Linked DNA regions of Stegostoma tigrinum. The protein of the gene in region 1 purifies or fractionates together with the protein of each later gene. This does not show direct contact. Links are inferred from orthologs where the notes say so. Each region holds a gene or a part of one and is shown on either strand. Other genes may lie near its edges. The genes, in order: saal1 and long-chain fatty acid transport protein 2-like.

Evidence for each region.
Region 2: the proteins of saal1 (region 1) and long-chain fatty acid transport protein 2-like purify together in Homo sapiens (co-immunoprecipitation; 3 studies listed by BioGRID and IntAct, with this or other methods). This does not show direct contact. The link is inferred for Stegostoma tigrinum from reciprocal best matches to the Homo sapiens genes SAAL1 and SLC27A2.

Annotation. Positions count from the first base shown.
Region 1 is NC_081370.1:16,714,682-16,731,009, forward strand, and holds the start of saal1 (protein saal1), read right to left. Parts: upstream 9,051-16,328; 5' UTR 8,853-9,050; intron 8,843-8,852; exon of another isoform or gene 8,708-8,842; intron 8,696-8,707; exon of another isoform or gene 8,401-8,695; intron 7,258-8,400; exon of another isoform or gene 7,255-7,257; 5' UTR 7,236-7,254; coding exon 7,101-7,235; intron 6,592-7,100; coding exon 6,478-6,591; intron 5,801-6,477; coding exon 5,717-5,800; intron 4,192-5,716; coding exon 4,112-4,191; intron 2,516-4,111; coding exon 2,456-2,515; intron 1,510-2,455; coding exon 1,394-1,509; intron 1-1,393. UniProt on the Homo sapiens protein: Plays a role in promoting the proliferation of synovial fibroblasts in response to pro-inflammatory stimuli.
Region 2 is NC_081386.1:36,273,796-36,289,904, forward strand, and holds the start of long-chain fatty acid transport protein 2-like, read left to right. Parts: upstream 1-7,813; 5' UTR 7,814-7,892; coding exon 7,893-8,367; intron 8,368-12,485; coding exon 12,486-12,689; intron 12,690-12,998; coding exon 12,999-13,157; intron 13,158-16,023; coding exon 16,024-16,109. UniProt on the Homo sapiens protein: Mediates the import of long-chain fatty acids (LCFA) into the cell by facilitating their transport across cell membranes, playing an important role in hepatic fatty acid uptake.

The DNA.
Region 1 (16,328 bases):
AATAATCATTTAGCACCTCACCCATCTTCTATGGTTCCACATATAGACAGCCTTTTTGATCTTTAAGAAGCCTTATTCTCTCCCTCGTTACTTTTTTGCCCTTAGCCTATTTGTAGAATTTCTTTGGATTTTCCTCAGCCCTATTTACCAAAACTATCTCATGTCCCCTTTTTGCCCTGATTTCCCTCCTAAGTATACTCTTACTGCCCTTGTACTCCTCCAGGGATTCACTCAATCCCAGTTGTCTTTACTTGACATATGCCTCCTTCTTTTTCATAACAAGAGGTTCAATTTGTCTAGTCATCCAGCATTCCCTCCCCCTACCAGCCTTGCTCTTCACACTACAGGAACATACTATCTCTGAACACTCAATCTCATATTTGAAGGTGTCCCACTTTCCAACTGTCTCTTTACCCATGAACAGCTTTGCCCAATCAACTTTTGAAATATCCTGCCTAATGCCATCAAAAATGGCCTTACTCCAATTTAGAACTTTAAATTTTAGATCCGGTCTATCCTTTTCCATCACTATTTTAAAACTAATAGAATTGTGGTCACTTGGTCCAAAGTGATCCTTCATGACACCTCAGTCACTTGCCTTATTTTCCAACAGAAAGGCAAGTTTTGCTGCTTCTCTAGTAAGGTACATCTACATACTGAAGAAAATGTTCTTGTGCACACTTAATAAATCTCTCTCCATCCAAGTCCTTAACACTACAACAGTCTCTTACCATTACAACGCTGTCAGTCTTACAGATATCTGAGGTCTCCTAACATATTTGCTTCTCAATTTTCCACTGAATATTGGGGAACCTATAGTACAATCCCAATAAGGTGATCATCCCTTTCTTATTTCTCAGTTATACCCATATAACCTCACTAGACGTTCTCCCAGGAACATCCTCCCTAAGTACAATTGTAATGTTATCCTTAACCAAAAATGCCACTCACCCTCCTCTCTTTCCTCCCTTTCCTACAGCATCTATACCCTGTGACATTAAGCTGCCAGTCATGCCCTTCCCTGAGCCACATTTCTATAATTGCTATGATATCTCAGTCCCTTGTTCCCAGCCATGCCCTAAGTTCATTTTACACTGAAACCCCTACAGTACACTTGAATTCTCAAACATCTAACAGTGACAGCAGTCCCACTAATTCATGACAGGTCAAAGTATCAATGCAAGCTTGTCATCCAAAGAATACAACAGTCCACACTCCATACTGTTTCAAATTCACAGGCATGCACATTTGTGCAGCCTCCTCTCTGACCTCATAATTTTCCATCCAGGCAGACATCGCTCAGATGAAAATTGAGAAAATGAAAACAAAGGCAGACTTCTCCAATCACATACATTTTGACAAAATGGTTTTCACAAAAAAGTAAACCACTTACCATTTGTGGAGCTCTGCATTATGAAGCATACATTCTCCCGAACAGAGCGTTGCTTATGGATTTGGTTAACCCAGATGCTGGACACATCTGGGTGAGAAAGACAGCTCAGTATTAACCTACAAAACAGAATCATTAATCAGAAAAGGGATCATTATCAAGAAGCCACAAGTAGCATCAATGTGGCCTAGCATTCTTAGAATATTAACACCATCAGTGATAGACCACACTTAATCTACAGTGCACAACACCCCTCCATACACAACCCTAGTTTGAGTATAGAATGGATAATTCTATTGTTGGTTACTTCTCATAGTTCAAATTAACAGACAGCAAACACTTTCACATCTTAATGAAACCATGTTAGTTCATATCAATTATTTGCACTGAAGAATCATCCCCGTTTCCATGATCAGGATCAGATGTTCTGTGACAATTTACAACCAATTCCAGACCAATAAATATACTGCCAACTAGAATCAGATGATGCATCTCATCCATACTGACAAATGGCTCATTTCAGAGTCAGACAGCATAGCATAAACACAAAACAAGTTAGATAAAAATAACATTAAATGAACAAAATCAGTCAGCATCTGAAAAAGAAAGACAGGTTAACACTTGTATTAGGACGGTGTTGACGTGTCCCATTCAAAACACTGACCACACTCAGATACACCGACTGATTGGCTGCACATTTCCGGATGTCAAACTTCATATCGCATCCAGGAACATAAATCAGAAGCAAACGCAGCAATGTAATGTCGCCACATTAGCTCCAAACTTTCAAGTAAGTCACTCACTATTTTAACTTGAATCTATCTTGCTGTTCCTTCATCATTGCTGAGGCCAAAGCTTAGCATTGCTTCCCTAACAGAATCACAGTAGTACTTTCATAAAAGGACTATGGCAGTTTCCAAAGAAGATCCATTACCAACATAATAAAATTTCATCATATTAGATTTTCCTTATATTGTCGTTAATTCATGAAGTCATTTAGCTAAAAAGTAATCAAGTATTATGTGACCTTCATAAATCTAGTACACATGGTATTCAAAATGCTACCTGCTCGTTTCCAAAAGAGTAGGTGGGTCAGAATCTCCTAGCAGCAATAGCAAAACGTCACTATGGAATAGGGAAGAAAACAAGATGATCAGCAAAACAGCCAATTATTCCAAGAAACACCTCAAAACCCAACAAACCTTATAACATTTACTCCCTAAATTCTTCCCTATTCTCTTCCTCGTCATCTCTTGCCGACATAGAAACCCTACAGGAAGCAGCTAGTCAGCCCATCAAGTCCATACCGACTGTCCAAAGAGCATCCAATGCAGATCCACCCTCCCCTGCACCACCCTATAGCCCTGCATTTCCCCAGGCTAATCCACCCAACATACACATCTTTGGACAGAGGGGGAAAACTGGAGCACTTGAGGGAAACACATGCAAACAGGGGGGAGAATGTGCAAACTCCACACAGATAGTTGCCCAAGGGTCAAATCAAACCTGGGTCCCTGGCACTGTGAGGCTGCAGTGCTAACCACAGAGCCACTATTCCACCCAACATAATTTTCTTAAGACAATTATAATAATCACAGCCTTTTTAAAAGAACTACCACACGGAAACTATAAAAAAGAATAAAATCCCAAAATTCTTCTTTCACATCTTTTAGATTCAATAAATTATACTGCTTCCCTCCTTATTCAATATCTTATAGTCTGCAGCTAAAAAGACTAGCTGTTTGCTGAAATACATCTTCAAATAAAATGAGGATTTCTAGTGAAAGTTGGAAAACAGCTTGATTCTTAAATATCAATCACTGATTGTATGGAACATTTGCTTTGATATATATGATGAAAATACAAAATATATCCTAAAAGATGCAAATTCTAGAACTACAGCTTCAAAAAAACGCACATTCCTCATCTTAGAGCTAATTCACTCCATCACATATCCCCATCTAGCTGCTTCATAAATACTTACTTAAATATTGCTAGGTGTTGAAAGGCAAAATTGATGCCACAATAAACTCATGGATCTACAGCTGGAGTAAAACTGCACACAGTCTCAGAGGCAAATGTTGTCTCCACCTACAGAGATACCTCAAAAGTTTCCACACATGTAGCACAAACATCATGCACTGAAACACTGCTAATTTTTAGTACTGGGAATCTTCATACACCTGAACACTTTGGGTGTTTCATACTACGCTGGTGCTATTGAATCACAGTACCAAGGTTACACTGGATTTACTTCTTGGGTCTGACATGCCAGAGTACCTTCTGTTTGGTATTTCAAATAAAAAACTGGCTGAGTTTACTGGTAAAATGATTCTATCCAGAGATCAAGGGGCCTTTTTGGTGATAAACTGAATACAGCAAGTAGGTTTACAGAGTTCTATATGCCACTTGCAAAATTTCATTAACTCTGGCGCCATTATTAGAGGTTACAGAGGGGATTGTTTCTTTGATGTAAGATAAAGCCCCTGGTAACTTAAAATATCAATTATGGTTTGCCCAGCTCATGCTCCATATACTGGAGAGCTGAGGACAACAACAAAAGAGAAAAATTCTAAGCTGTGAGCTTATCTTTAATTCATTTTTAATGCCAGTTTTTGTAAAAACCTATTGCACCAACAATATTCAATAAGGACAGGACTTAATGTTTTTACTGGTTATCTATTGAAGAATGTGCAGCATGGGTTGTATACGAATACTCACACGAGATTATTGTTGTTACTGATTGCCCGACAGGTCTCACTGTAACAAGCCATATTTCCCAGGATACCAACACAAATTTCCTAACCTCGATAAAGAAGAGACTTTATTCAGCAATTACAGACCACTGCCACAGAAAGAAAATGGAATGAGGAATGAGCAATTATCTGAAGATCACTCCTTCCTCACACCATTTACACACTATCCCAGTAATAATTCTGCATCATTTAATTTCCTACAGAAAAGTACCATCTTAAACCATACTCCCCACGTCCCATCTCCAGCAGCATAGAGAACAGTATTCTCTACAGAATGTAAGCATAACTATTCAGCTCATTTATTGAGTTAATCGTACATTTTAACACAGTTTTAGGAAACGTGAGCACCAATTTAGGAAGCAACAAAACACTGAAAGATTTTGGAGAGTAATGGTAGGCTGGAGATGGGACCATACTTTGCAACGGCAGTGGGGTCAAGAATTTTGTTTTTAAGGATGATGATGACAGATCTAGAGAACAGAGACTGAACAATTTTCAATATTGATCATTACGGCGATCGGGAGGAGAAATTGGGCAGTTAGCAGCTTAGAAGGAATAAGGGAGTAAGAAGTGGACTGTAGGTTGGGTTGAAGTTGAAAAGGACCTGAAGAGATAGGAGAGAAAAAGGAGGTATATGCAAGTTCAAGGTGGGGACAAAAGGGAATTTTGAGGAAGTTTGGCCTGGTGAAATGGAAGGGGGCAGCAGCAACTGTTCAGACGGTTTTAAAATCAGTGACAAAAGATGCCCATGAACTCCATGCATTTATTGTTGCAGTCAAGGAAATGGGGTGACGGGTTTAAAAAGAACTCAAGAGGTAAAAGCTTTCATTTCACGAACATCCTAGAATAGTGATTAACCTAACATCCAGCCATACTCACACTAACTAGCTAAATCAGTTGTGCATTTTATCCTTTCAAGTCTACATCCTTTGGACTTAGGAGAGATAGGGTATCTACCAGGAGAACCAGCATAAGAGACAGTAATTGGTTTATTGGGGATGAGAGTATCGCAGCTAGAGGGGAGCGTGCAGGTGAGCAGATCAGTACTTGCAGAAATGTGGTGAGAAAAACCTTTTTCAGAGTGTAATGCACTTCCTTATAACCAATATTCTAAAGTTGCTGTCCTGTATAACGATTTCCCAAAGAAATGAAGGCTAAGTAACTGGGAAAGATATTCAGCTTACTTCTGCAGAAATCATCCAGACAGCTGATTTCATTACAACAGTACAACTTGGTTTCCTTCTGATCCTTTTCAGTAAGAAATTGCTGTTTGTCCAACAGCCATTTATCCAGACATAGGCCAGTAAGAGGGAAACCATATCTCATTAACAACCAGGTGCATACCATGCCCAATGGCAAAAAGGCATTGCAAAATGGATACTGGGAAATTACTACAAACTGAGTATAATTGTCATGGGTGATATTCTAAGATTAGACACTATGCCGGAGAAGTCTGATTACCAGGTCTCTCACGCTCCAACAACAATAAGGATTGAGGGCACCATACAACAGTCTGGACAGGAACATATTACATTGCAAATAACCCTCACTTACTACAAGTTTCACCCACCGTTAGTCGGGGACACTTGGATTTACCAATGATCCCCAACAAGATGTCTGTAGCATTGAATTCCTGAAGAAACACAGCAACGTCCTACAGTACAAAACACAAAGCTTAGTCATTAAGTAACAGTGACATGCATCTGAGTCAGGGTACATTACCCAAACATCTTACATTGACAGGAACAGCCATCATTTATCTCTTAAGGTTAAGAACCTAGCCCTTTAAGCTGCATGGTTAATGATACCAAAATTGCTGCATTTCAAACAGGCATAGACCACTTACAACTCAGCATATACATCAATCCCTTCCACAGTACAGTCCGCAAAGCTATGATTGGAAAACAAAATGTTCACACTATCACTTAATCTCACAGTGTCTTTTCAGTGTAGAGCTGCTCTGACAGTTCAATGTACTGTGCTATAGTAAAAGAGAAAAATTAATTGATTCGTGAATTCACCACAGAAGTCACTCATTTTACTTAAACCTCTCTCAGTGAAATGAAGCAACAGTAAAATAAGTCAGAATATCAAATTAAGAGATGATCATATTTATCTCCAAAGCTAGACATTAGTTCATCTTCCTCTCTCACTGCAGAGATTGATTTTTGAGTCAGGGAAGGGAATTTAAAGACAGAACAGTGAAGAGCAAAGAGATTTGGAGACTTGGAATATAGGTATGATATTCCTTCTAGACACATCAGTCACTTACATTCAATCAGACAGCAATCACCATCACATTCAAGGGTCTCCATAGAACTCCATGATTACCTCATCCATTGACATGTCCCACATTTTACAGATCTCATTCTCCAGATCCTCATCCAGCTCTGTTTCTTTTCTGGAATCTAACTCTTCCACCTCTTCACCTTCTGGAGAGACAAGCTGAGAAAGTGAAGTGGTTAATATATTTTTTTGTTTTCTGGCCTTTGTAAACTGTTGTTGTGCATACTTTTTCTTGCTACATACCCCAGTAAAATCCGTAGTTATAATACAAGTTCTGTGCTTGGAGTTACAAAAATCATGATGTTTTTTGATATGGATATGATTGACAGTGTATGCCCTCAATGGCCTTGTCATGCTTCCGATTAACAGGTTGATCAAATAATATGGGTGTTCAGCATGAAGCCAATTCAGTCAGACAGCCCTTTTACTTAAGGGCTACTTGACACTGCTGACATTCTCCATCTACCCTACCCCCGCATCATTTTAAGTGAAATTAGGTGGTGCAGCGCAGACCAATTATAGCTAACTCATAATTTATAGGTTGAGTCAGGTTTGATTAATTATTGCCTTCTGAGGAATCAACAAGCCCTAATGAAACTGATCAAATCTGCATTCTTATTTCAAAATAGGACCTACGTTTTTGTATACATACAGAATGTAAACGTTACCTCAATCAGCCTCATGAGCGTGGTGAACAACCAGTGCTTACTGTACACTGTGTTCCCAATTGCATCAACTCTGGTTGTCTCATCACTGCTTTCATCACTTGGTGGTGGGGATGGGTTGCGATCCATCCCAGCCATTCAGAATGCTTGAACAACGCTACTTTGGGAAGCACAGGAACACTGCATTAATGCAACAGGAGAGGTCCATGGAGAAGAACAGACACTGTATGCACACAGGTCATACAGGAAATGTAATTACACACTGCTGCAATTTAACCAATTAAAACTACACAGTTTAATAAACTACTTTCCAGGGTAAATAAGAGCTTGACACCATCCAGGACAAAGCAGCTTGTTTAATTGACAGCCCATCCACAAACATCCACTGCCTCACAGTAACAGTAGTGCATACTTTTACAAAGTGCACTGCAGAAAATCATCAAGGCTCCTTAGGCACCTTCCAAACTGTCCACCACTACCAACTAGAAGGACAAAGGCAGCAGAAACACAGGAATACCATCACCTGCAGTTACCTCCAAGCCACTCACCATCCTAACTCAGACATATATCGCCAAACCTTCAGTGTTGTCAAAACCACAGAAATCCCTCGTTAACAGCATTGAGGGGCTTCTTGAACCAAATGATCTGCAGTGCATTAAGAAGGCAGCTCACCACATCTCAAAGACAACTAGGGATGGACAATAAATGGTGGTCGAGGGAGCAAAGGCTGCATTCTATGAATGATTTTTTATAAAATGTGGGAAGAATCCCAGTCCTTAGTGAAACATCAACCCCTTCAGGTTCCAGAAGTAAACCGGAGTGATTGCTAAATCATTAACTTAATAATTTAGATCTGCTTGGCTTCTGAACTCACCATATTTTCCAAAACAGATTAATATAGTCCCAAACTTTCAATGACAGCCATGTCACCTTGTACTCAGCTCAAATATCGACAGAGATCTCACTTATTTCTATCCCCACTTCAGGATGGGAACGTGATTAGTTGAATTATTGGTTTCGCTAAGTTTCGAGTCTAGATGAGCTCTAAACAGGAGTCATCTAGTCTCAAAACGTTACCTTGCTTTTCTTGCATGGATGCTGCCTGACCTGCTATGATTTCCAGCTTTTTTTGTTTTCAGGACAGATTCCAGCATCTGCAGTAATTTGCTCCTGAATTACTGGTATAGTTGCATTAAAAGAATTGACAGGCAGAAGTCAGAGATCCTAGGGATCTTAGGTGTACAACCAGAGCGTCAAAGCTTTGGGAGAGCAACAAAATGTGTGCCAAATACTAAGCTCCCACCTGTAAAGAAGAGTTAACATTTCAGGTCTGTGGCTATTTATCATACTACAAAACCTGAAACGTTAAGTCTGTTCCTCTCTTCTTGATGCTGCCGGAGTTGCAGAACATGTCCAGACTTTTTTCTTTCGAGTTCCAACATCCAGTTTATTTTGTGCGCTCCTTACGAGAAGGCGGGTACAGATCTAAGTGATTGTGATAAACAGGTTCTGAGTAAAGGGAGAGCTGTGCTAATCACACTAAAGTACACAGGGGACACTCATAACTATCTCAACCAGACAAGTACATGAGTGAATACCGACAGACTCACTCTTTGCAGCAACTGCTTTTCTCTCCCAGGTTCAGGTTCTCTTATTCACAAAGCAAAGTGAAATTTTAATTCATCATTACTCCAACAACCCGTGCCTAAACCCACGCGTCTATTCTCAGCACAACCGAAACAGCACAGGCCTTACAAATCGCTCGATCCCATCCTACACACCGCCTCCTTCCGACTGGGAGTCTGTTCACAACCCGCCCGCTCACAGCGCCTCCCTCCGGCTGGGAGTCTGTTCACACTCGCCCATCACAGCGCCACCCTCCGCTGGCAGTCTGTTCACACACACCTCACCCGCCCATTTCGCAGTTCCACCCTCCGACTGGGAGGCTTGGGGACCGCTTTGCAGAACACCTCCGCTCAGTTCGCAACAAACAACTGCACCTCCCAGTCGCAAACCATTTCCACTCCCCCTCCCATTCTCTTGATGACATGTCCATCATGGGCCTCCTGCACTGCCACAATGATGCCACCCGAAGGTTGCAGGAACAGCAACTCATATTCCGCCTGGGAACCCTGCAGCCATATGGTATCAATGTGGACTTCACCAGTTTCAAAATCTCCCCTTCCCCCACTGCATCCCTCAACCAGCCCAGTTCATCCCCTCCCCCCACTGCACCACACAACCAGCCCAGCTCTTCCCCTCTACCCACTGCATCCCAAAACCAGTCCAACCTGTCTCTGCCTCCCTAACCGGTTCTTCCTCTCACCCATCCCTTCCTCCCACCCCAAGCCGCACCCCCAGCTACCTACTAACCTCATCCCACCTCCTTGACCTGTCCGTCTTCCCTGGACTGACCTATCCCCTCCCTACCTCCCCACCTACACCCTCTCCACCTATCTTCTTTACTCTCCATCTTCGGTCCGCCTCCCCCTCTCTCCCTATTTATTCCAGTTCCCTCCCCCCATCCCCCTCTCTGATGAAGGGTCTAGGCCCGAAACGTCAGCTTTTGTGCTCCTGAGATGCTGCTTGGCCTGCTGTGTTCATCCAGCCTCACATTTTATTATCTTGGAATCTCCAGCATCTGCAGTTCCTATTATCTCCGACTGGGAGTCTGTTCACACTCGCCCTCTCACAGCGCCACCCTCCGGCTGGGAGTCTGTTCACAATTTTGTTACACATTGTGCCTCTGCAATGATGAAACCTTTAGTTTTCAGGATCGGGACTTGGAAGGATTTCGGGAATTTACACATACATATTAATCAATTAAAACCTTTAACTAACTAAAGATTTAACCCTTAGGTTTGTTTAGTACATCCTCATAAATGGTGTGATTATTTGATCTTTTACTTTTAAATTCTGTATATGATACTACCTCTCACTAACATCAGAAGAAAGACTGAGGCTCCGAAAGCTTGTCTTTTCAAGTGAATCTGTTGGGCGAGAAAACCTGGTCTTGTGTGACTTCTGACCTGGCACACTTTCATTTGCAGTGGTATATACAGATGCAACCTTGCAATTCTTTACTTTGAGCTTTTCATTTGGTTTCTTCTTCAGTAACCATTTGCTGGTTCCAGAAATCTCACAATTATGTCCAACTATTTCTTAAAAGCAGACTGGCGTGCTGCCTCTTGCTGACTCTGTTATGCATAATTCTGTTCAAAACACAGCAGGTTCTTATTGTAATTTTAGATAACAAAGTGTGGAGCTGGATGAACACAGCAAGCCAAGCAGCATGCATTTCCATAAGGCAGATCAATTACAAGCTCATCACCAAACTCATCTCCACCTATCTGGACTCCATTTTCTCCCCTTTGGTCCAGGAACTCCGCACCTACGTCCGTGACACCACCCACGCCCTCCACCTCCTCCAGGACTTCCAATTCCCTGGCCCCCAACACCTCATATTCACCATGGACGTCCAGTTCCTGTACACCCGCATTCCGCATGCAGATGGCCTCAAGGCCCTCCGCTTCTTCCTGTCCCGCAGACCCGACCAGTCCCCCTCCACCGACACTCTCATCCGCCTAGCTGAACTCGTCCTCACACTCAACAACTTCTCTTTTGACTCCTCCCACTTCCTACAGACTAAGGGGGTGGCCATGGGCACCCGCATGGGCCCCAGCTATGCTTGCCTCTGTAGATTACGTGGAACAGTCCCTCTTCCGCACCTACACAGGCCCCAAACCCCACCTCTTCCTCCGGTACATTGATGACTGTATCGGCGCCGCCTCTTGCTCCCCAGAGGAGCTCGAACAGTTCATCCACTTCACCAACACCTTCCACCCCAACCTTCAGTTCACCTGGGCCATCTCCAGCACATCCCTCACCTTCCTGGACCTCTCGGTCTCCATCTCAGGCAACCAGCTTGTAACTGATGTCCATTTCAAGCCCACCGACTCCCACAGCTACCTAGAATACACCTCCTCCCACCCACCCTCCTGCAAAAATTCCATCCCCTATTCCCAATTCCTCCGCCTCCGCCGCATCTGCTCCCACGATAAGACATTCCACTCCCGTACATCCCAGATGTCCAAGTTCTTTAAGGGCCGCAACTTTCCCCCCACAGTGATTGAGAACACCCTTGACCGCGTCTCCCGCATTTCCCGCAACACATCCCTCACACCCCGCCCGCGCCACAACCGCCCTAAGAGGATCCCCCTCGTTCTCACACACCACCCTACCAACCTCCGGATACAACGCATCATCCTCCGACACTTTCGCCATTTACAATTCGACCCCACCACCCAAGACATTTTTCCATCCCCACCCCTGTCTGCTTTCCGGAGAGACCACTCTCTCCGTGACTCCCTTGTTCGCTCCACACTGCCCTCCAACCCCACCACACCCGGCACCTTCCCCTGCAACCGCAGGAAATGCTACACTTGCCCCCACACCTCCTCCCTCACCCCTATCCCAGGCCCCAAGATGACATTCCACATTGGCAGATGTGCAGGTGAACCTCTGCTTAATGTGGTATACTGCATCCATTGTACCCGGTGCGGCTTCCTCTACATTGGGGAAACCAAGCGGAGGCTTGGAGACCGCTTTGCAGAACACCTCCGCTCAGTTCGCAACAAACAACTGCAACTCCCAGTCGCAAACCATTTCCACTCACCCTCCCATTCTCTAGATGACATGTCCATCATGGGCCTCCTGCACTGCCACAATGATGCCACCTGAAGGTTGCAGGAACAGCAACTCATATTCCGCCTGGGAACCCTGCAGCCTAATGGTATCAACGTGGACTTCACCAGTTTCAAAATCTCCCCTTCCCCTACTGCATCCCTAAACCAGCCCAGTTCGTCCCCTCCCCCCACTGCACCACACAACCAGCCCAGCTCTTCCCCCCCACCCACTGCATCCCAAAACCAGTCCAACCTGTCTCTGCCTCCCTAACCGGTTCTTCCTCTCACCCATCCCTTCCTCCCACCCCAAGCCGCACCCCCAGCTACCTACTAACCTCATCCCACCTCCTTGACCTGTCCGTCTTCCCTGGACTGACCTATCCCCTCCCTACCTCCCCACCTATACTCTCTCCACCTATCTTCTTTACTCTCCATCTTCGGTCCGCCTCCCCCTCTCTCCCTATTTATTCCAGTTCCCTCTCCCCATCCCCCTCTCTGATGAAGGGTCCAGGCCCGAAACGTCAGCTTTTGTGCTCCTGAGATGCTGCTTGGCCTGCTGTGTTCATCCAGCCTCACATTTTATTATCAATTACAAGCTCCACAGTTCCGTATCCTGTAGCAATGGCAGCAGTTTGTACAGTGTAGAAGAAATTTTGACCCAGATTGTTGAAAACATGCTTATTTGGCGCAAACTAGCTCTCTCAGTTCTAAGCAGTTGGAACCCTCTCTTGGCTATGCATAATATATCCAGCATGTGCTGAATTCCACATCCGTTTTAAATTGAGGCCAAGTTCAAAATCTGCACAAATGCGTAGGATTTTATGCTCTCAACTTCTTAGATTCAGTTCCTCATTTCATTTGAATTGTCGCTGTTTGTTTTTACACATCTGATTACTTTGAAAATAATTTGTGTAATTCAATAATAAGTTTTTGGCAGAGAATTTCAGGTCTATTTATTTTCCAGAGTCCCATTAATTATTTCCCTGACCGACATGTGTTTTATTATCGTCTCATTATCATTTTCAATTTCCCTACTCCTCCACTTCTAGATGTCACATACAATATCACATGGTTTAGTTGGTTGTTGGTGTAAATGGAAATAAAACCTCCAGCCCTACTCTGGCCAAACCAATCTCATTGAAACAACTTGTGCTTTGAACACAAAATGTGGCATAAATGAGATAGAAAGGATTAAGGGGATGAAGGAAGGAATGAAATCAAACAGTTATGACAGCATTGGATTCGGTGGAGGGAGGGAGGTGATGAGGATTAAGGTATAAATAGAACAATTGTTCTTTTGAACTGAAAATTATAAAGGCAAGATGGAGATGGAGAAGCAACCAACTACATCAGGTTGTAGACTTGTTCACCCAGCTGGTGTCAGAGATAATGGGAACTGCAGATGCTGGAGAATTCCAAGATAATAAAATGTGAGGCTGGATGAACACAGTAGGCCAAGCAGCATCTCAGAAGCACAAAAGCTGACGTTTCGGGCCTAGACCCTTCATCAGATGAAGGGTCTAGGCCCGAAACTTCAGCTTTTGTGCTCCTGAGATGCTGCTTGGCCTGCTGTGTTCATCCAGCCTCACATTTTATCACCCAGTTGGTGTATTTTGTTGCAGACATTTTGTCACCCTGCTGGGTAACATTGTCAGTGTGTCTCAGGTGAAGCATTGGTGTTCTGTCCCATGTTATTTATTCGCCTTGGTTTGCTGGAGTGGTTAGTATCACTTCCGGCTCTGTTTTTCAGTGGTTCGTATAATCGGGTACAGATCAATGTGTTTGTTGACGGAATTCCAGTTGGAATGCCAGGTATCCAAGAATTCCCTGCCATGACTCTGTTTGGCTCATGCTATTATGGATGTGTTGTCGCAGTCAAATTCATATCCTTTCTTGTCCATGTGTATCCATATTGTCAGTTTTCTTCCAGTTTGGCCGATGTAATGTTTTTCACAGTCTTTGCATGGTATTTTGTATATTACGTTAGTTTTATTGGTTGTGGGTACAGGATCCTTAACGTTCATCTCTGGAGGCACACTGACAATGCTATGGTGATGAAATGTCTGTAATCAAACACACTAGCTCAGTGAGCAAGTCTACAACCTCATCCACAACCCCAGCTACAAATCTTCACAAAAACTTTCACCTACAACATCAGTTAGTATAAGGGTAAGGTCATCAGTAAGAAGCAACTGAACTGGAAAAAGAAATGAAACTGTGAGAAAACAGTTATGGTTTGTACAGTGGTACAGAGGGTGGGCTTTGAAGTATCTAGAATGAGTCAAGCATCATGTACATGGGGAAGACTTGAATAATCACCTGCTCTTTACCTGTTCATCAATTTGATGTCAGTGATGTGGATTTAGGCTCCAATGAATACAATTCTAACCAATTCAATCTCTCCTCATACGTCAGTTGCACCATCCCAGGAGTCAATCTGGTAAACCTTCACTGCACTCTATAGCAAGAACATTCTTCCTCAGGAAAGGACATCAAAACTGTACACAATATTCCAGTATGGCTTCACCAATGCACTGTATCATTCCAGCAAGACATCTTTGTTCCTGTACTCAAACCCTCTGGCTATGAAGGCCAACATACAGTTTGCTAGTTTTACTGACTGCTGCACATAGAACATAAAGCGCAGTACAGGCCCTTCGGCCCTCGATGTTGTGCCAACCTGTGAAACCAATCTGAAGCCAACCTAACCTACACTATTCCGTTATCATCCATATGTTTATCCAATTACCATTTAAATGCCCTTGAAGTTGTCGAGTCTAGTACTGTTGCAGGCAGGGCATTCCACACTCTTTCTACTCTGAGTAAAGAATCTCTGTCATCTGTCCTATATCTATCACCCCTCTTTTTAAACATATGTCCCTTCGTGCTAGCTATCTCCATTCAAGGAAAAAGGCTCTCACTGTCCACCCTATCTAATCCTCTGATCATCTTGTATGTCTCTCTTAAGTCACCTCTTAACCTTCTTCTAACAAAAACAGCCTCAAGTCCCTCAGCCTTTCCTCATAAGACCTTCCCTCCATACCAGGCAACATCCTGGTAAATCTCCTCTGCAACCTTTCCAATGCTTCCACATCCTTCCTATAATGCGGCGACCAGAACTGTACACAATACTCCAAGTGCGGCTGCACCAGAGTTTTGTACAGATGCAACATGACCTAACGGCTCCGAAACTCAATCCCTCTACCAATAAAACCTAACACACCGTGTGCCTTCTTAACAACCCTATCAACCTGGGTTGCAACTTTCAGTAATCTATGCATGTGGACACCAAGATCCCTCTGCTCGTCCACACTACCAAGAATCTTACCATTAGCCCAGTACTTCGCACATGCACACTTACTTTCAGCAACTAGTTCATGAGGACAGCCAGGTCTCTCAATTTACAGCCCAACAACTATCTGCCTTCCTACTTTCACCATATTAGCCAGTAAAGTCACAGACTTCTTGTGTAATGAAAGTTGATGTTAAGACTCAGTTTGTTTCGAGCAAAAGACCTTTAGCACTGGTTATTTAAATTGCTACTTTTGAAACTCAGTACTGCCTACAGTGAACCAATCCTCTAAGTTGTTGTGAGGTAGTTAAGTTGACAGAAGGTCCTGCAAAGATTTTTTGATCTGACAATGGAAACCATGATTTTTGCTTAAATCTGGGAATGAAAGTGGCAGACAATGTGTGGTGGCCCAACCTAGGGTTCCTTCCAGACATAATGAAACAACTGAGCACACTGAATTGTGATCTGCAGGGAAAGGACAGATCAATGTTATGAATAGATTCAACTAGGTCTATGATCCTTCAAAATAAAGAACAAAATGGTGCAACACTTCCTACACTTGAAGAAAATGGCAAAGAAAAATGGTTTTACCAAAAAATGCCTGTGCATACCTGAGGAAGATAGCAGGGGAACTCGGACAATTTCAGGAATTATATATAAGAATCATATAGCATGGAAACAGATCCTTTATCTGTGCCCAACATAATCCTAAACTAAACTAGTCACATCTTACTGCTCTTGACCCATATCCCTCCAAGCCTTTTCTATTCATGTACTTTTCCAAATGTCTTTCAAATGTTGTAGCTGTACCCACATCCAACCCTTCCTCAGGAAGTTAATTTCCATGCAAACCACCTTCTGTGCAAAATATTTACCCCCATGTCTTTTTTAAATCTTTCTCCTCTCACCTTAAAAAATGTGGTCTTGAAATCTCCCATCCCATGGAAAAGACACCACTAACTCTATCTATACCCCTTATTATTTTGTAAATTTCTAAAAGGTGGCCTCTCAACCTCCCATGAAAAAAGTTCCAGTCTATATCTGTAACTCAAATCTTCTGCACCCAGCAACATCCTGGTAAATTCTCTTCTAAACCCTCTCCAGTTTAGTAATATCCCGCCTATAACTAGGTGACCAGAACTAGACACAGTATTCCAGAAGAGGCCTCACCAATGTCCTGCACAACCTCAACATGACTTTCCAACTTCTATACTCAAAGGACTGAGCAATGAAGACAAATGTGCCAAATGCCTT
Region 2 (16,109 bases), on another chromosome or scaffold:
ATGGTCATTGGATAAACATATGGATGATAATGGAACAGTGTAGGTTAGATGGGCTTCAGGTTGGTTTCACAGGTCAGTGCAACATCGAGGGCCGAAGGTCTTGTACTGCGCTGTAATGTCCTATGTTCCATGTAACACTCCTCCAACATCCTCTGTCTCCTACCTTCAAGCAAATTTTGTATCCAACTGGGTCACTGAATGTCTTTTAGGCAGGGAAATCAAAGGTATTCGGGTACAGTTGGGAACGTGGAACTCAACACAAACAATTCAACTATAGTCTTACTGAAAGGAGCAAGCCTGGGTTGCTGGATGGTCTAAGTCTGCTCTATTTCATCAGTTTGTTCACATCAGCATTTGGAAATTTTGTACACAGTGAGGAGAACAGTAACAGACTTCAGGAGGACAGATACTAGTGAAATGCACAGACACACAGCAGATGAAATGTTAATGCAGAGAAGGAAAATAAACTGAGACAATACAAGTTCCTGCTACAGATAAATAAGATCTTTGAAAGTGACAAAGTAAGTTCAGAAGATGATGGCTGTATTAACTGACGCAGAAGGTACTGAGTAAGTGCATTTGGCTAAACTTATATAAAAGACTGTCAGGGCTTTGCAGATGGTTATTGTGTTTGATTGCAGGCATCATTCTTTAGAAAGGAGGCTGAGGCCTTGGAGAGAGTGCTATGGAGTTTTAATAGAATGGTCCTGAGATGAGAGACTTCAGTTCTGTGGAGAAGCTGGGATTGTTCTCCTTAGAGCTGAGAAATGTAAAGGGAGACTTGAAAATTAACTAAAATTGCCAAGATTTTTGAAAGGTTGGTCTCGGGGCTCTCCATTTCCTGGGGAAAAAGGACTTGCACCATCCCTACCCCCCACCATCCTCTTCCACTTGGCTGAGCTCATCCTCTCTCTGAACAACTTCTCTTTTAACTCCTCTTGTTTTCTTTGGGTCAGAGGGGTAGGCATGGGATGAGCCCAGTTATGCCTGTCTCTTTGTGGGGTATGTGGAACGTTGCTTGTTGCAATCCTACTTGGGATCCCACCCTCAACTCTTTCTCCAAAACATCAATGACATCATCGGTGCTGCTTCCGCCTCTCATCTGGAATTGGAAAAGTTTATCAATTTCACTTCCAATTTCCACCTAACTCTCACCTTTACCTGACTCACCCCTTCCCTTCCTTGACATCTGTTTCCATTTCTGGGGATAGAATGTTCATTACTAACCAGTATAAACCTACCGACTCCCACAGTTACCTTTAATGATACATCCTCATGCCCCACTTCCTCTATTCCATTCTCCCAGTTCCTCCATCTCTGTTGCATCTGTTCTGATCATGCCAACTTTGACAAGGGAGCCTTTGAAACGTCCATCTTCTTCCTCAGCTGAGGATTCCCCAGCTCCATGGTTGACAGAACCTGAGCCAAGTTCAGACTATCTCCTGCAGCTTGGCCTTCACCCCCCTCTCTTGCTTGCTGCAACTGTGATAGGGAACCCCTTGTCCTTACCTACCATCCAGAGGATCATTAGCCGCCATTCCTGCCACCTTCAGTAGGATGCCACTACCAGACACATATTCCCCTCTCGTCCCTTGTCCACCTTCTGCAGGGACCATTCCCTCAAAGACACCCTGGTCCACACCTCCTCCGCTGCCAACACCCACCTCCCACAGCTGCATGGCACCTTTCCCTGCAACTGCAGAATGTGTAGTGCCTTCCCATGTACTTCCTCCCCTTTCACTATCCAACATCCCAAACACACCTTCCAGGTGAAGCACTTCACTCACTCTAGTATACTGTATTCGCTGTGGTCTCCTGTACGTTGGGGAAATGAAGCACAGACTGGGTGACCACGTAGCAGAACATCTACGTTCTGTCCACAAAACAGACCATGAGCATCCAGTTCGCTGTCCTTTAACACAGCACCAATTCCCTGGCTGGCATCTCTGTCTTGGGCTTGCTGCAGTGTTCCAGCGAAGCTCAGCGCCAATGACAACAACAACACAACCTGAGGAAGGGTCACCAGACCCGAAACATTGACTCTGGTTTTCCCTCACAGATGCTGCCAAACCTGCTGAGCAGTTTTTTGTTCCTGATTTACAGCATCCGCAATTCTTTCGGTTTTTGGGTTTTTTTTTAGCTCAGTGCCAAGCTGGAAGAACAGTACCTCATTTTTCACTTGGGGACCCTGCAGCTCTCCGGACTTCATATTGAGTTCAATAACTTCAGGGTCTGAGCATCTTCTCCCATGTCCTGACCCCAAGCCCCACAAACCAGGCCTTGTCATGACACGGGCTGCTACCGTTTCCAAGATGGTGGTGAAGGATGCTTCAGCAGAGCCTGTCTGCTCTGCCCATTTCTTTCTCTTTTTTTTCTTTCTTCTTTCTCCTTTCTTCTTTTCTTCTGTCCTGACCTCAGTGGAGACCCAGTGAGGTGCCCTCCCGGCCTGTCCCCGTAGTGCCCTCCTGGCCTGTTCCGTGGTGGTCTCTTGGCCTGTCGCATGATGTCCTCCCGGCCTGTCCCCGTGGTGCCCTCCCGGCCTGTCCCCATGGTGGTCTCTTGGCCTGTCCCACGATGTCCTCCCGGCCTGTGTGCCAGTGACTCAGTGTGCAAGTGGGTCCTGCCCAGGGGTGTTCGGAAGGCACCCGGGAGAGTTTGGAGAGTTGGCAGCGTCAGCAGCAGTGATAGCATCGTGGCCCAACGGAGGATGATTGAGTGTAACGAAGCTCCTCTGGTATCAGCAGCAGTGGCATTGAGAACAAACAGCTGAGGTCTCCCAGATAGTGAGAAAATCAGAGGACTCAATCAAGACTGCAGAACCTTTAACTTTATTCCTTTGTTTTTCTAGTTTCTATTAAGAAGGGCTTTAATATTTACTGTAGCCTTATTTCTTTACTTTCAAAGAATAAGTTGACAAATAATGCTTAACTTTTTAAGATAACAAAATGTGAGGCTGGATGAACACAGCAGGCCAAGCAGCATCTCAGGAGCACAAAAGCTGACGTTTCGGGCCTAGACCCTTCATCAGAAAAAAGGGTTAGGGTCTAGGCCCGAAACGTCAGCTTTTGTGCTCCTGAGATGCTGCTTGGCCTGCTGTGTTCATCCAGCCTCACATTTTATTATCTCGGATTCTCGAGCATCTGCAGTTCCCATTATCTCTTAACTTTTTAACTTTGTTTCTTGTACCTCAGTTTTTGGTACTTAGTTATGTTTGTATTGGTGCTGTTTGTGGTGATGTTATACACTTTTCATTGTATTCCTGTACTGCTGTACTTGAGTACATGTGACAATAAAATCTAAATCTAAATCTAATCTCTCACAACCTATTGTCAGTCACTAATGCTCCCCATTTGCATCTGTTCATTCTCTCAGGCTGACCTTTATCTGATCCTTTGTGTGCCCAACTGTTTCGCTGTCTCTCTCTCTCTCTCTCTGGGGTCCATCTCCCTGTACTGTTTACTTCTCTCCCCATACCCCACCCCAACTTCAGCATAATTACCATTCTTTTCCATCACTTCTGAACAAGGGTCACTGGACCCAAAACCTTAACTTTTCTTTCTCTCCACTGACCTGTTGAGTTTTTCCAGAAATTTCTGTGTTTGCTACAGATTCATGTGGAATTGGGTCACTGGTTAAAGGGAAGCCATGATGCGAAGGAGCCGGTGTTGGACTGGGGTGGACGAGGTCAAAATCCTGTGGTGCCAGGTTATAGTCCAAGAGATTTATTTGAAAACATAAGCTTTTGGAGTCTCACTCCTTCTCCAGGTGTCAGTGGGACAGGTGGCATCAGATGCAGAATTTATAAGCGAAAGATTAAAGGGTCATAGAACCGATGCAAATGTATTGAACAAACCTAAAATGGTTGTTAAATCTTCAATCAGTTAGCAAGGATTAATATGCAAATCCCAGAATTTCTTTCAAGTCATTGCCCTGAGATATCTAAAGGTTTGATCAGTGTATACCAGAGATGACATCCCAGGTCAGACAATGCATTTTAGGTGTGAGGCCTGTGTAGAATCTGGCTGTGTATCAACTTGGAATCAGGTTAGTTTTATTTGCAAAGTAGCAATTTATAAAATACAGCATTGACTGTCTACAAATTGTGTGATTTTGAACAAAATAGAATGTACCTGTAATTACAAATCTGCCAATGCAAATTCACCCTATAGATTTATTTGTGTGTGTGTGTGTGTGTGTGTGTGTGTGTGTGTGTGTGTGTGTGTAATTCCGGACAGTTAGGAGGGTACAAATAGTGTGAATAGAGTTGATGGGGCTATATAACAACTGAAAGGATGAATGAAATGTATTATCTTGCCATTCTCTCTCTTCTGTTATGTTGTGCCTGTGAGCCTGTACCCACTTCACCTCACCAAGGAGCAGTGCTCAAGAGCTTCTGATTTTATATGAACCTATTGGACTACAATGAGATAACAAGGTGTAGAGCTGGATGAACACAGCAGGCCAAGCAGCATCAGGGGAGCAGGAAAGCTGACGTTTCAGGTCAGGACCCTTCTTCAGGATTATAACGTGATGTTGTGTGACTTTTGACTTAGTTAAAGGAGAAATAATTAACAGAAACAAGGCGGTGGGATAAGTTAGATCACTCTGTGAAAAAGCGGACACAAACAAAGAGGCCGGATGTGGTTCTGATTCTGCTTCATTTGTGTTGGTTTGCGAAACTTGCTGGACTCGGAGATTGATCCCAAATTTATTAGGTGGGCAAGATATCCCCCTAAAGATATAACAGTAGAAATCGGAAGTAAAAACCCAGTACCGGAGAGACTCAGCAGGTCTGGGAGCACCTGTGGAGAGAGGAGCAGAGTTAATGTTTTGGGTTGATATTTTCAGAATGGAATATTGTCTGGATTTGGTTGTAATGTGTTTGTTCTGGGCCTGGCTGGGTTCATTGCCAGTCAGAGACTGTGTGATACTGTGATCCTGAGCTAACCGTACCACATCAGTGACTTCCAAATCACGAAGTTATTGTATCAGAGATAATAAGAACTGGCGATGCTGGAGAATCTGAGATAACAAGGTGTAGAACTGGATGAACACAGCAGGCCAGGCAGCATCAGAGGAGCAGGAAAGCTGACGTTTCAGGCCTAGACCCTTCATCAGAAATGGGGGAAGGGAAGGGGGTGCTGAAATAAATAGGGAGAGATGGGGAGGCGGATCAAAGATGGATAAAGGAAAAGATAGGTGGAGAGGAGACAGACAGGTCAAAGAGGTGGGGATGGAGCCAGTAAAGGTGAGTTTAGGTGGGGAGGGGAGGGGATAGGTCAGTCTAGGGAGGACAGACAGGTCAAGGGGGTGGGATGAGGTTAGTAGGTAGGAAATGGGGGTGCGGCTTGAGGTGGGAGGAGGGAATAGGTGAGAGGAAGGACACGTTGGAGAGGCGGGGACGATCTGAGCTCGTTTTGGGATGCGGTAGGGGGAGGGGAAATTTTGAAGCTTGTGAAATCCACATTGATACCATTGGGCTGCAGGGTTCCCAAGCGGAATATGAGTTGCTGTTCCTGCAACCTTCGGGTGGCATCATTGTGGCACTGCAAGAGGCCCAGGATGGACATGTCGTCTAAGGAATGGGAGGGGGAGTTAAAATGGTTTGCGAATGGGAGGTGCAGTTGTTTGTTGCGAACTGAGCGGAGGTGTTCTGCAAAGCAGTCCCCAAGCCTCTGCTTGGTTTCCCCAATGTAGAGGAAGCCACACCTGGTTCAGCGGATGCAGTATACCACATTGGCAGATGTGCAGGTGAGCATCTGCTTGATGTGGAAAGTCATCTTGGGTGCCTGGGATGGGGTTGAGGGAGGAGGTGTGGGGGCAAGTGTAACACTTCCTGCGGTTGCGGGGGAAGGTGCCGGGTGTGGTGGGGTTGGAGGGGAGTGTGGAGCGGACAAGGGAGTCACGGAGAGAGTGGTCTCTCCGGAAAGCAGACAAGGGTGGGGATGGAAAAATGTCTTGGGTGGTGGGGTCGAATTGTAGATGGCGGAAGTGTCGGAGGATGATGCATTGTATCCAGAGGTTGGTGGGGTGGTACGTGAGAACGAGGGGGATCCTCTTTGGGCGGTTGTGGCGTGGGCGGGGTGTGAGGGATGTGTTGCGGGAAATGCGGGAGACGCGGTCAAAGGCGTTCTCGAACACTGTGGGGGGAAAAGTTGCGGTCCTTGAAGAACTTGGACATCTGGGATGTGCGGGAGTGGAATGCCTCATCCTGGGAGCAGATGCAGCGGAGGCGAAGGAATTGGGAATAGGGGATTCTCAGGCATCCACCTGGAAACTGATGTCCATTTCAAGCCCACCGACAGCTACCTAGAATACACCTCCTCCCACCCACCTTCCTGCAAAAATGCCATCCCCTATTCCCAATTCCTTCACCTCCGCTGCATCTGCTCCCAGGATGAGGCATTCCACTCCTGTACATCCCAGATGTCCTCGTTTTTCAAGGACCGCAACTCCCTGCCCCCTCCACAGTGGTCGAGAACGTGCTCGACTGTGTCTCCCACGTTTCCTGCAACACATCCCTCACACCCCGTCCCCACAATAACAACCAAAAGAGGATCCCCCTCGTTCTCACACACCACCCTACCAACCTCCGGATACAACGCATCATCGTCTGACACTTCCGCCATCTACAATCCGACCCCACCACCAAAGACATTTTTCCATCCCCACCCTTGTCTGCCTTCCAGAGAGACCACTCTCTCCGTGACTCCCTTGTCTGGTCCACACTGCCCTCCAACCCCACCACACCCGGCACCTTCCCCTGCAACTGCAGGAAGTGCTACACTTGCCCCCACACCTCCTCCCTCACCCCTATCCCAGGCCCCAAGATGACATTCCATATTAAGCAGAGGTTCACCTGCACATCTGCCAATGTGGTATACTGTATCCACTGTACCCCGGTGTGGCTTCCTCTACACATGGGAAACCAAGCCGAGGCTTGGGGACCGCTTTGCAGAACACCTCCACTCGGTTCGCAATAAACAACTGCACCTCCCAGTCGCAAACCATTTCCACTCCCCCTCCCATTCTTTAAATGACATGTCCATCATGGGCCTCCTGCAGTGCCACAATGATGCCACCCGAAGGTTGCAGGAACAGCAACTCATATTCCGCTTGGGAACCCTGCAACCCAATGGTATCAATGTGGACTTCACCAGCTTCAAAATCTCCCCTTCCCCCACCGCATCCCAAAATCAGCCCAGCTCGTCCCGTCCCCCCACTGCAGCCCAAAACCGGCCCAGCCTGTCTCTGCTTCCCTATCCTGTTCTTCCTCTCAACCATCCCTTCCTCCCACCTCAAGCTGCACCTCCATTTCTAACCTACCACCTCATCCCGCCTCCTTGACCTGTCCCTCCTCCCGGACTGACCTGTCCCCTCCCTACCTCCTCACCCATCTTCTCCTCTATCCATCTTCAGTCCGCCTCCCCCTCTCTCCCTATTTATTTCAGAATCCTCTCCCCCATCTCCCTTTTCTGAAGAAGGGTCTAGGCCCGAACCGTCAGCCTTCCTCATCCTCTGATGCTGCTTGGCCTGCTGTGTTCATCCAGCTCCACACTTTATCTCGCACAGATATTGATTGGCTGAGATGAAGGGGAACGGGAGGGTCTTGTGTGGAACCTGGAGCAGCAGTGCACAGACGGGCCGAGTGGCCATGCTGTGTAAATGTAGAGGGTCTGTATTTCCCAGGTTAATGCTGATTCGGTGCAAATGCAGGAATTGTGTTGGGGAGCAGGGTCAGTGAGGCTGTGGGAGGGAGTGCCCGGTTTCCCTCCCTGCACCCAGCCCCCAGCAGGAATCTCCCGCCTCCTGGAGGCGAGCCGCCAGGGTGACGGCTAGTTCTCAGTTTGGGGAAGTTTCAGATGCTGTGAGCCCCGCTCGACCCGGCAACAATGCAGGTTCTCCTCGGCTTCCTTCTGGCCCTCCTGCTGAGTGGCCTCCTGCTCCGCTCCTGGTTCCCGTACCTGGGGCACGATTTGAGAAACTTCTACCGAGCGGTCACACTGGCCATACGGGTGATGATTTACAAGAGGAAGCAGCCCCCGGTCACATTGCTGGATGTGTTCCTCCAGAGAGTGAGACAATCCCCAAACAAAACGTTTGTGCAGTTTGAGGGCCGGACTCTCAGTTACTCGGAGCTGGACAGGCAGAGCAACCAAGTGGCGAGAATCGTGCAGCGCCGGGCTGGGCTCCAGCGCGGTCACTGTGTAGCGATCCTCCTCAGCAACACTCCGCTGTTTGTCTCCGTCTGGTTGGCTCTCGCTAAACTCGGCTGCCCTGTGGCTTTCCTCAACTTCAACATCAAGGGCAAATCCCTGCTTCATTGTTTCAAGTGCTGTGCCTCCCAAGTGCTCATCGTCGGTGGAGGTGAGGAACTTTCAAATTGTAAAAGCAGCTCCCAGGTCCGAGCAAACCGCTGGCAACTCTGGGTCTCTAGGTGTGAAACAGAGAATGCAGTCATTTCTCTGTGGGTTCGCTCTTGCTGCAGTTATGCAGGGCCTTGGTGAGGTCGCTCCTTGAGTGTTGTGTGTGGTTCTAGTCTCCTAGTCTGAGGAAGGACGTTCTTGCTATTGAGGGAATCCAGCGAAGGTTCACCAGACTGATTCCTGGGATGGCAGGACTGGATCAACTGGGCTTGTACTTCCTGGAATTTAGAACAATGAGGGGGAATCTCATAGAGTTTTCTAATCTCCTGATGGAACTGAACAGGCTACACATGTGGAGAATGTTCCCAATGTTGGGGAAGCCCACAACTAGGGGGCCACAGTCAAAGAATAAGCCATTCAGGACCGAGATGAAGATGAATTCCTTCACTCAGAGATGATAACAACTGCAGATGCTGGAAGTGAGAGTCTATAGGTGTGAGGCTGGAAAAGCACAGCAGGCCAGGCAGCATTCCAGAAACAGAAAAATCACCATTTTTCTAGTTGAAGCCCTTGGTCAGGACCAGGGCAGGCAGCCCAGGAATGCATTGAAGGGGAGGTGGTGTGGTGTGTGCTAAGGGTAGGCGAGATGGTGATAGGTGCATTCAGATAGGGGTTATTGTGATTGGTCTGTGGGAAGGGTGGAGTAAATACCTGAGTAGGAAGACGGACAGATTAGGTCAGGAGCGGGAGGGCTGCATATGGGATAAGGTTGGGGGAGGAGAGATTTTGAAGCTGGTGAAGTCAATATTCAGGCCTTTGGGGCATCACCTCCAAAGGCGGAATATGAGGTGTTGTTCCTCCAGATTACGTTTGGCCTCACTCTGACAGTGGAGGAGGCCAAGGATGGTCATGTCACCAGGGGAGTGGAAGGGGCTGTTAAAGTGGTTGGTAACTGGAAAGTCAGGTTGGTTGGTGCATGCAGAGCACAGATGCTCGACAAACTGGTCCCCAAGTCTGCATTTGGTCTCCCTGGCGTAGAGTAGACCACATCGGGAGCAACGCGTGCAGTAGATGGGCTAGGTGAAGTGCAGGTGAATCTTTGCCAGATTTAGAAGGATTGTTTGGGCCCTTGCAGGTAGAAGAGGGGTGTCGCGGCAGGTGTAGCACCTCCTGCAGTTGCAGGGAAAGGTACTGGGTGTGCTGAGGGGTTGGTGGAGAGTGTGGAGCTGACAAGGCAGTCACAGACTGAATTGTCTTTGTGGAAAGCGGACAGGAGTGGGGAAGGAAATATCTTTTTTGTGGTGGGGTCTGATTATAAGTGGCAGTAGTGTTGGAGGATGATACATTGGATTCAGAGGTTGGTAGGATGGTACGAGAGGACTAAAGGTACTCTGCCCTAGTTGGGGTGAGGGTGTTTGAGGGCAGACATGTGGGAAATGGAAGACATACAGTTGAGGGTGTCCTTAATTACAGAGGAGGGGAAATTCCAGTGTCAAAGGTAGGAGGATATCTGGGATGCCCTGGAGTGGAATGCTTCATCCTGGGAGTGGAGGCAGAGAAGTTAGGTGTTTGGGATAGCATTTTTCCTGGAGGTTGTGTGAGAGAAGGCATAGTTGAGATAGTTGTAGGAGTTAGTAGGTTTAAAATGGATGTCGGTGGTGAGTCAGTTTCCAGAGATGGTGGCGGAGGGGTCCAGGAAGAGGGGGGAGGTGTCAGAAATGGTCCAGGTGAATTTGAGGGTGGGGTGGAGTGTGTTGATAAACTGCTTGAGCTCCTCGTGGGAGGATGAGGCTGCACCAACGCAGTCACCAATGTAGTGGAGGAAGAGGTGAGGGATGCTACTGGTGTAGTTGCCGAAGAGAGACTGTTCCACAAATCCTACAGTGAGGCAGCACAGCTGGGGCCCGTGTGGGTGCCCATGGCCATCCCTCTGGGTTGTTTGGAAGTGAGAGGAATCGAAGGAGAAATTGTTGAGAGTGAGGACCAGTTCAGCCAAGAAAATGAGAGTGTCAGTGGAGGGGAACCAGTGGACCGAGAGGAGACAAGGCAGTGGAAGGCGTTTTAGAGGAAGAGTTGCGAACCTGCAGCATTCTTCACCCCACAAAGCTGTTGGGGCCAATTCATCAGATATATTCAAGAGGGAGCGGGAATTGGGCCTTGCAGCTAAAGGGATCAACGGGTATGGAGACAAAGTGGGAATGGTGGGATAGATTGCATGATCAGCCATGACCATATTGAATGGTGCAGCAGGCTCGAAGGGCCGAAAGGCCTCATCCCACACCTACTTTGCGTGTTTCTGTGTTGGGATATTGCCAGGAATGAAAGCTGTCCAGTAACAGCAGGACAGTCAGTTCCTGCCTGTTCCCATCAGCACAGTCTCCATTTTCCTCACCACTCCTTACAGAATGAACTGATGACCACATCATCACAAGGGAAACATGGCCCTGTCAGACCCAAGCGAGGCTACATTCTGGCTCACTCTACCTCTCCCTGACGCACACATTGCTGACCCTAAAACACAACGGGCAAACTTTTCTCTACTTTATCTTCTAATTGTTAAAATTTGGTTATGGGATGTCGGCATTGCGCGCTGCGCAACATATATTGCCCATCCCTAGTTGCCCTTGAGAAGGTGGAGGGGAGCTGCCTTCTTGAACCGCTGCAGTCCTCCTGCTGTGTGTTGATCCATAATGCCCTTAAAGGAACAGCGATATGTTTCCAAGTCAGGATGGTGAGTAGCTTGGAGGCAGTGTTCCCATGTACCTGCTGCCCTTGTCCTTCTAGCTGGAAGTGGTCATGTGTTTGGAAGGTGCTGTCTAAGGATCCCTGGTGAACTTCTGCAGTGCATCTTGCAGATACCATGCACTGCTGTTAATGAGCTTCAGTGGTGGAGGGAGTGGATACTTATGGATGTGATGCCAATCATGTGGGTAGCTTTGTCCCAGATGGTGTCAAGCTTCTGGAGAGTTATTGGAGCAGCATCCATCCAGGCAAGTGGGGAGTATTCCATCACACTCCTGACTTGTGCCTTTATAGGTATGGACCGGATTTGGGAAGTTATTCATCACAGTATTCCTAGTTGCTGACCAGTTCTTGCAGTCACTCTGTTTATATGGCAAACTGAATTGACTTCTGGTTGATCGTAACCCCAAGGATGTTGTAGTGAGGGATTAGAACATAGAACATAGAACAGTACAGCACAGAACAGGCCCTTCAGCCCACAATGTTGTGCCGACCATTGATCCTCATGGATGCACCCTCAAATTTCTGTGACCATATGCATGTCCAGCAGTCTCTTAAATGACCCCAATGACCTTGCTTCCACAACTGCTGCTGGCAACGCATTCCATGCTCTCACAACTCTCTGCGTAAAGAACCTGCCTCTGACATCCCCTCTATACTTTCCACCAACCAGCTTAAAACTATGACCCCTCGTGCTAGCCATTTCTGCCCTGGGAAATAGTCTCTGGCTATCGACTCTATCTATGCCTCTCATTATCTTGTATACCTCAATTAGGTCCCCTCTCCTCCTCCTTTTCTCCAATGAAAAGAGACCGAGCTCAGTCAACCTCTCTTCATAAGATAAGCCCTCCAGTCCAGGCAGCATCCTGGTAAACCTCCTCTGAACCCTCTCCAAAGCATCCACATCTTTCCTATAAAGAGTGATTGAGTGATGGTAACACCATTGACTGTCAAGGGATGGTGGGGAGACTGTTATTAGTAATAGTCATTGCTTGACATGTGTGTGGCATGAATGTTACTTACCATTTGTCAGCCCAAGCCTGGATATTGTATAGGTCTTGATTGTTTCAATATCTGTGGAGTTGCGAATGTTGCTGAACATTGTGCAATCATCAGTGAACATCCTCATTTCTGACCTTTATAAGTGCCTTGTCAACATTACTCTGAATTTGTTTAGAAATCTTGTTGTGAACCTTTCAATCAATCATTAGAAACTCAAACATTTTAGTAAACTTTTGGTGTATGCAGGCATTATAGCTGGAATATGTTTGTGATGTATACTCTGTGAGCATCATATTTCCTGTCATGTTTGGGATAGGCTCATTATAAACATACTGATCTGTACACAGTGAATATTGATTATTGTGTATTTTGCAGACCTGAGGTGTTCAGTGGAGGATGTACTGCCCAGTTTAAGAGAGAACAATGTCACTGTTTTAATTTTGGATGACGAATGTACCATAGAAAGCATTGGGAATGATGAAATTCAAGCTGCATCTGACCAGCCACTGCCTTTGTCCCTCCGATCACACGTTACCTTCAAAAGCCCCTTTATTTATATCTATACCTCCGGAACAACAGGTATCTCTACTTATTCTAGAACCTGCCCAGTGTTTCTCTGTCTTATATCTTGTAAATAATACATGCTTATTAGGTATTTTGTGTCATTGAAACTTGGACAGTTTTGCTACAGCAGTGAAAAATTGACTGTGTTTGAAGTGATTAAACAAAAGGATAAATAATTAAATCATTTTTAATGTCACAGTGTGATGGATCTTTAGGATTGCTTCATGTTCCAGCTGTTTGTGTAGTGATGGTTTCTTCACTGAACCAGAGGATTCAATTGGTGGCTGTATTATGATTTGATTCTTTTATTTTTGGGGTTTAAAGGTTTGCCCAAAGCTGCCATCATCACTCACTCTCGAGCACATCTTTTTGCTTCGTTCATTGCAACTTGTGGTATCTACAGTAATGATGTGATTTATACCACTCTACCTCTTTATCACAGTGCTGGTTCCATGGTTGGAATCTGTGGCTGCATTTATGCAGGTAGGTTGCCGAATCTAAATTTGCTCCTTTTATGGTTTTAACCCTGTTCCATTTCCTTGAGATGGTCTCAACTCCTTTTCTGTTCTTTGCTTCCCTCCTTTTTCACCTCAGCTGTTTAAAATGAGCTTCTTGATACCACAGAGAAAAAAAGTGAAGCCCTTTGGTCTAAAGTACAGCATTTTGTTAATAATAAATCCAGAGGTCAGGGTTGAAGATTTCTCCTTCTGTTTGTTTGTTTACTAGCCAGTGGGCCTTTGGAATGCAGAAAAAACTCAATCCTTTTGAATAATCTCATTAAAGCTGTTCTAGAGACTGTAAGAAATTCAGTACAAAGAGACAATAAAGAGCAAACTGCCTGTGTCACATCAAGAGAGGGAGGGAGAGAGAGAGAGACCCTGAGAGAGACTGCAAGAGACCTTTCTAAAAAAGGGAGGAACCAGAGAACTCGAGCCACAGAGTGACAGACAGTTCAGGACTGGAGAGAGAATGTGAAAAGATTTTCTTGTCTGAATTTGGAACATTGTGTGAAATGGCCATGAGATTTGCTGGGTGATGTCAGCATTAGAGTGGGGCAATCCTGGATATGAAAGGCTTCAAGGATTCGTCCCTGGCAGCTCTCCCAGTTTCCCATCTGCTGGAATAGGGGAGGTGGCAGAATTCCCAAAGCATTACATTTTGAAACCTACCTGTTAATGTTGAGCATGAATACTGTTTAAAATAATTTTTTGGTGGGTCTTGACCTTTTTTGAAAAATCATACTGTCCTTTCCTTTTACGTTTGCTTGAAAGTTTTTTCCCGTACCAAACAGGTTTGAACAAATGAGTTACACTCCTGTGGTTCACAGCACATTGAGTCGAGACCTGCTGTTTCTGGAGGTGGGAAGGCACATACTTCAACGCAGTGGTGGTACACCCATTCCCTGCTGCCTTACAAACCTCCAGCAGGACGATCCAGACGGGACAGTAGGCCTGTTCCCTGCCACTTCTTGAGACCCTTAAGTGGTTGATTAAGAATCTCTTCTCTTATAGGCCTGAGCCTGCATGGATGGGGTTAACCCATCTGCAGGAGGGTCTGTGACTCTGCAGTTTCCCCAACAGTTGCTACCCTTGGGGTAACTTGTCACCTCGAGGTGGGGTGACCTAAGGCAGTCAGTGATTGAGCAACTGGACATTGGGCAGTGGGTGCCCACTGGGAGCCAAACTTCTTCCCCTGTTTCCAGCTCCCCTGCCCACCACCCCTCCTCGTACAAACCCACCGTCATCACTCCCCACTGTGTGTGACGCTGGAACTCTGGGAGCACTCTGCCAGCAGTAGCCACAGCTGCCTCCGTAGCGGTCATCATGTGCCACCCTCTAACTGATTTGGCAGCTCTCACTGGGCAGGATCTCTGCCCCCTTGGGGTCTTGGCTCCAGCTGATTTTGTTACCGACATGTTTAATCCCAGACTGAGACGCATTTGATCACAATCATTTTTTTTGTTTTGCTTTGGTTTTATGAAGTCAACTCTTAATGAAAAATAAACATGCAATTTGCAGATTTTGTTTTAACAATTAAGCAGAAGTTTGTTCACCAAAACAAATTAAGATGAAATAGAATAAACCCAATGATAATGTCACACAAATTCAAAGATGTCTAAACACACAGTAAAAGTATAATTCCATTAATCCCAAAACACACTGTTACAAGTTCCAAAACAATCCTTGTACAATACAGAAAAGTACCCTTTTTACAGTATTCATGCCAGAGAAAAAATCCTAAACACCTTCAGAGGCTTAAGGTAAGTATTACCTTAACTCCTGAAAGGGAAATGTTGATAGCTTCTTCCTTGAGCCATCATACATGTAAACTTAAACATACCTAACTTTAAATAACCTCGTTAAGGCTTTTTCTCAACACTCTGATTTGTTACTATCACTAACTCCTTACTCTAAGGAATCTAGTTTTGCTATATTCTCCCACTTTCAAGAGCACTGCTATATACAACCATCTTCATTCAAAGACTTTACAGAACTACCCCAAAACAAAGTAAAACTAAAAAAAAAGCTCTCCGCCCTTTCTTCTCCCACTTTTTTGCCCCACTCTGCCCTCTCCCCGACTCTGCCCTCTCCCCCACTCTCCCCAAGCTATGGATGTTTGCCTAGAAATTTTGAATAAACCTTTCGAACACAATGTGCCAAAGCATTGTCCAGTAGGTTAATTTGAATATACAAGCTTTTGGAGTCTCAATCCTGACACCTGAAAAAGAAGCGAGACTTCAAAAGCTTGGGTCTTCAAATTAACCTGTTGGACTATAACCTGGTGTCATGCAATTTTTGACCTTGACTACCCCAGCCCAACACCGGCACCTCCGTTATCATTTCAGCGGCCTTGTCCCTGATTGGGATGAGGGAAAGTGGATCTCTCCACTGCTTCGATAAGATTCTGTTACGGAGGTGGCCAGGGGTTTACCCACTGATGAGGTCAGTATCTTCAATCTTTGTTCACGTCCCCATCGTTTAACTCATTGATGACCAGCCTCTGTTTGATGTGGCTTGGATCCCTGCTGAGCCCTAACTCTCTGCTCTGTCCTCCCACTCCATAGGAATGGCCAGCATCCCAGGGGAAGTATCTTCATTACCATCTGCACCTAGGCCCTTGGAACCAGTAAAGGAATGGGGGTGATAGCAGCGAATTGCCCCAACCATAAGGTGGTAGTGGTTGGCACATCAGCACATATAGGAGTCATAATATTTAATAAACAGCTGCTTTCAGTAGTGGGCAATAACTATTACTTAAATTAATTGCTCCCATTTCATTGTGAGATAATCTGGGAATGCAGAAAAGTGGAGAATAATCATGTTTCTATTTTCTTCCTTTTCTTTGACAGGGGCAACTGTTGTCTTACGTCGTAAGTTTTCTGTAAGCCAGTTCTGGGATGACTGCAGGCAGTATGATGTCACTGTTATCCAGTAC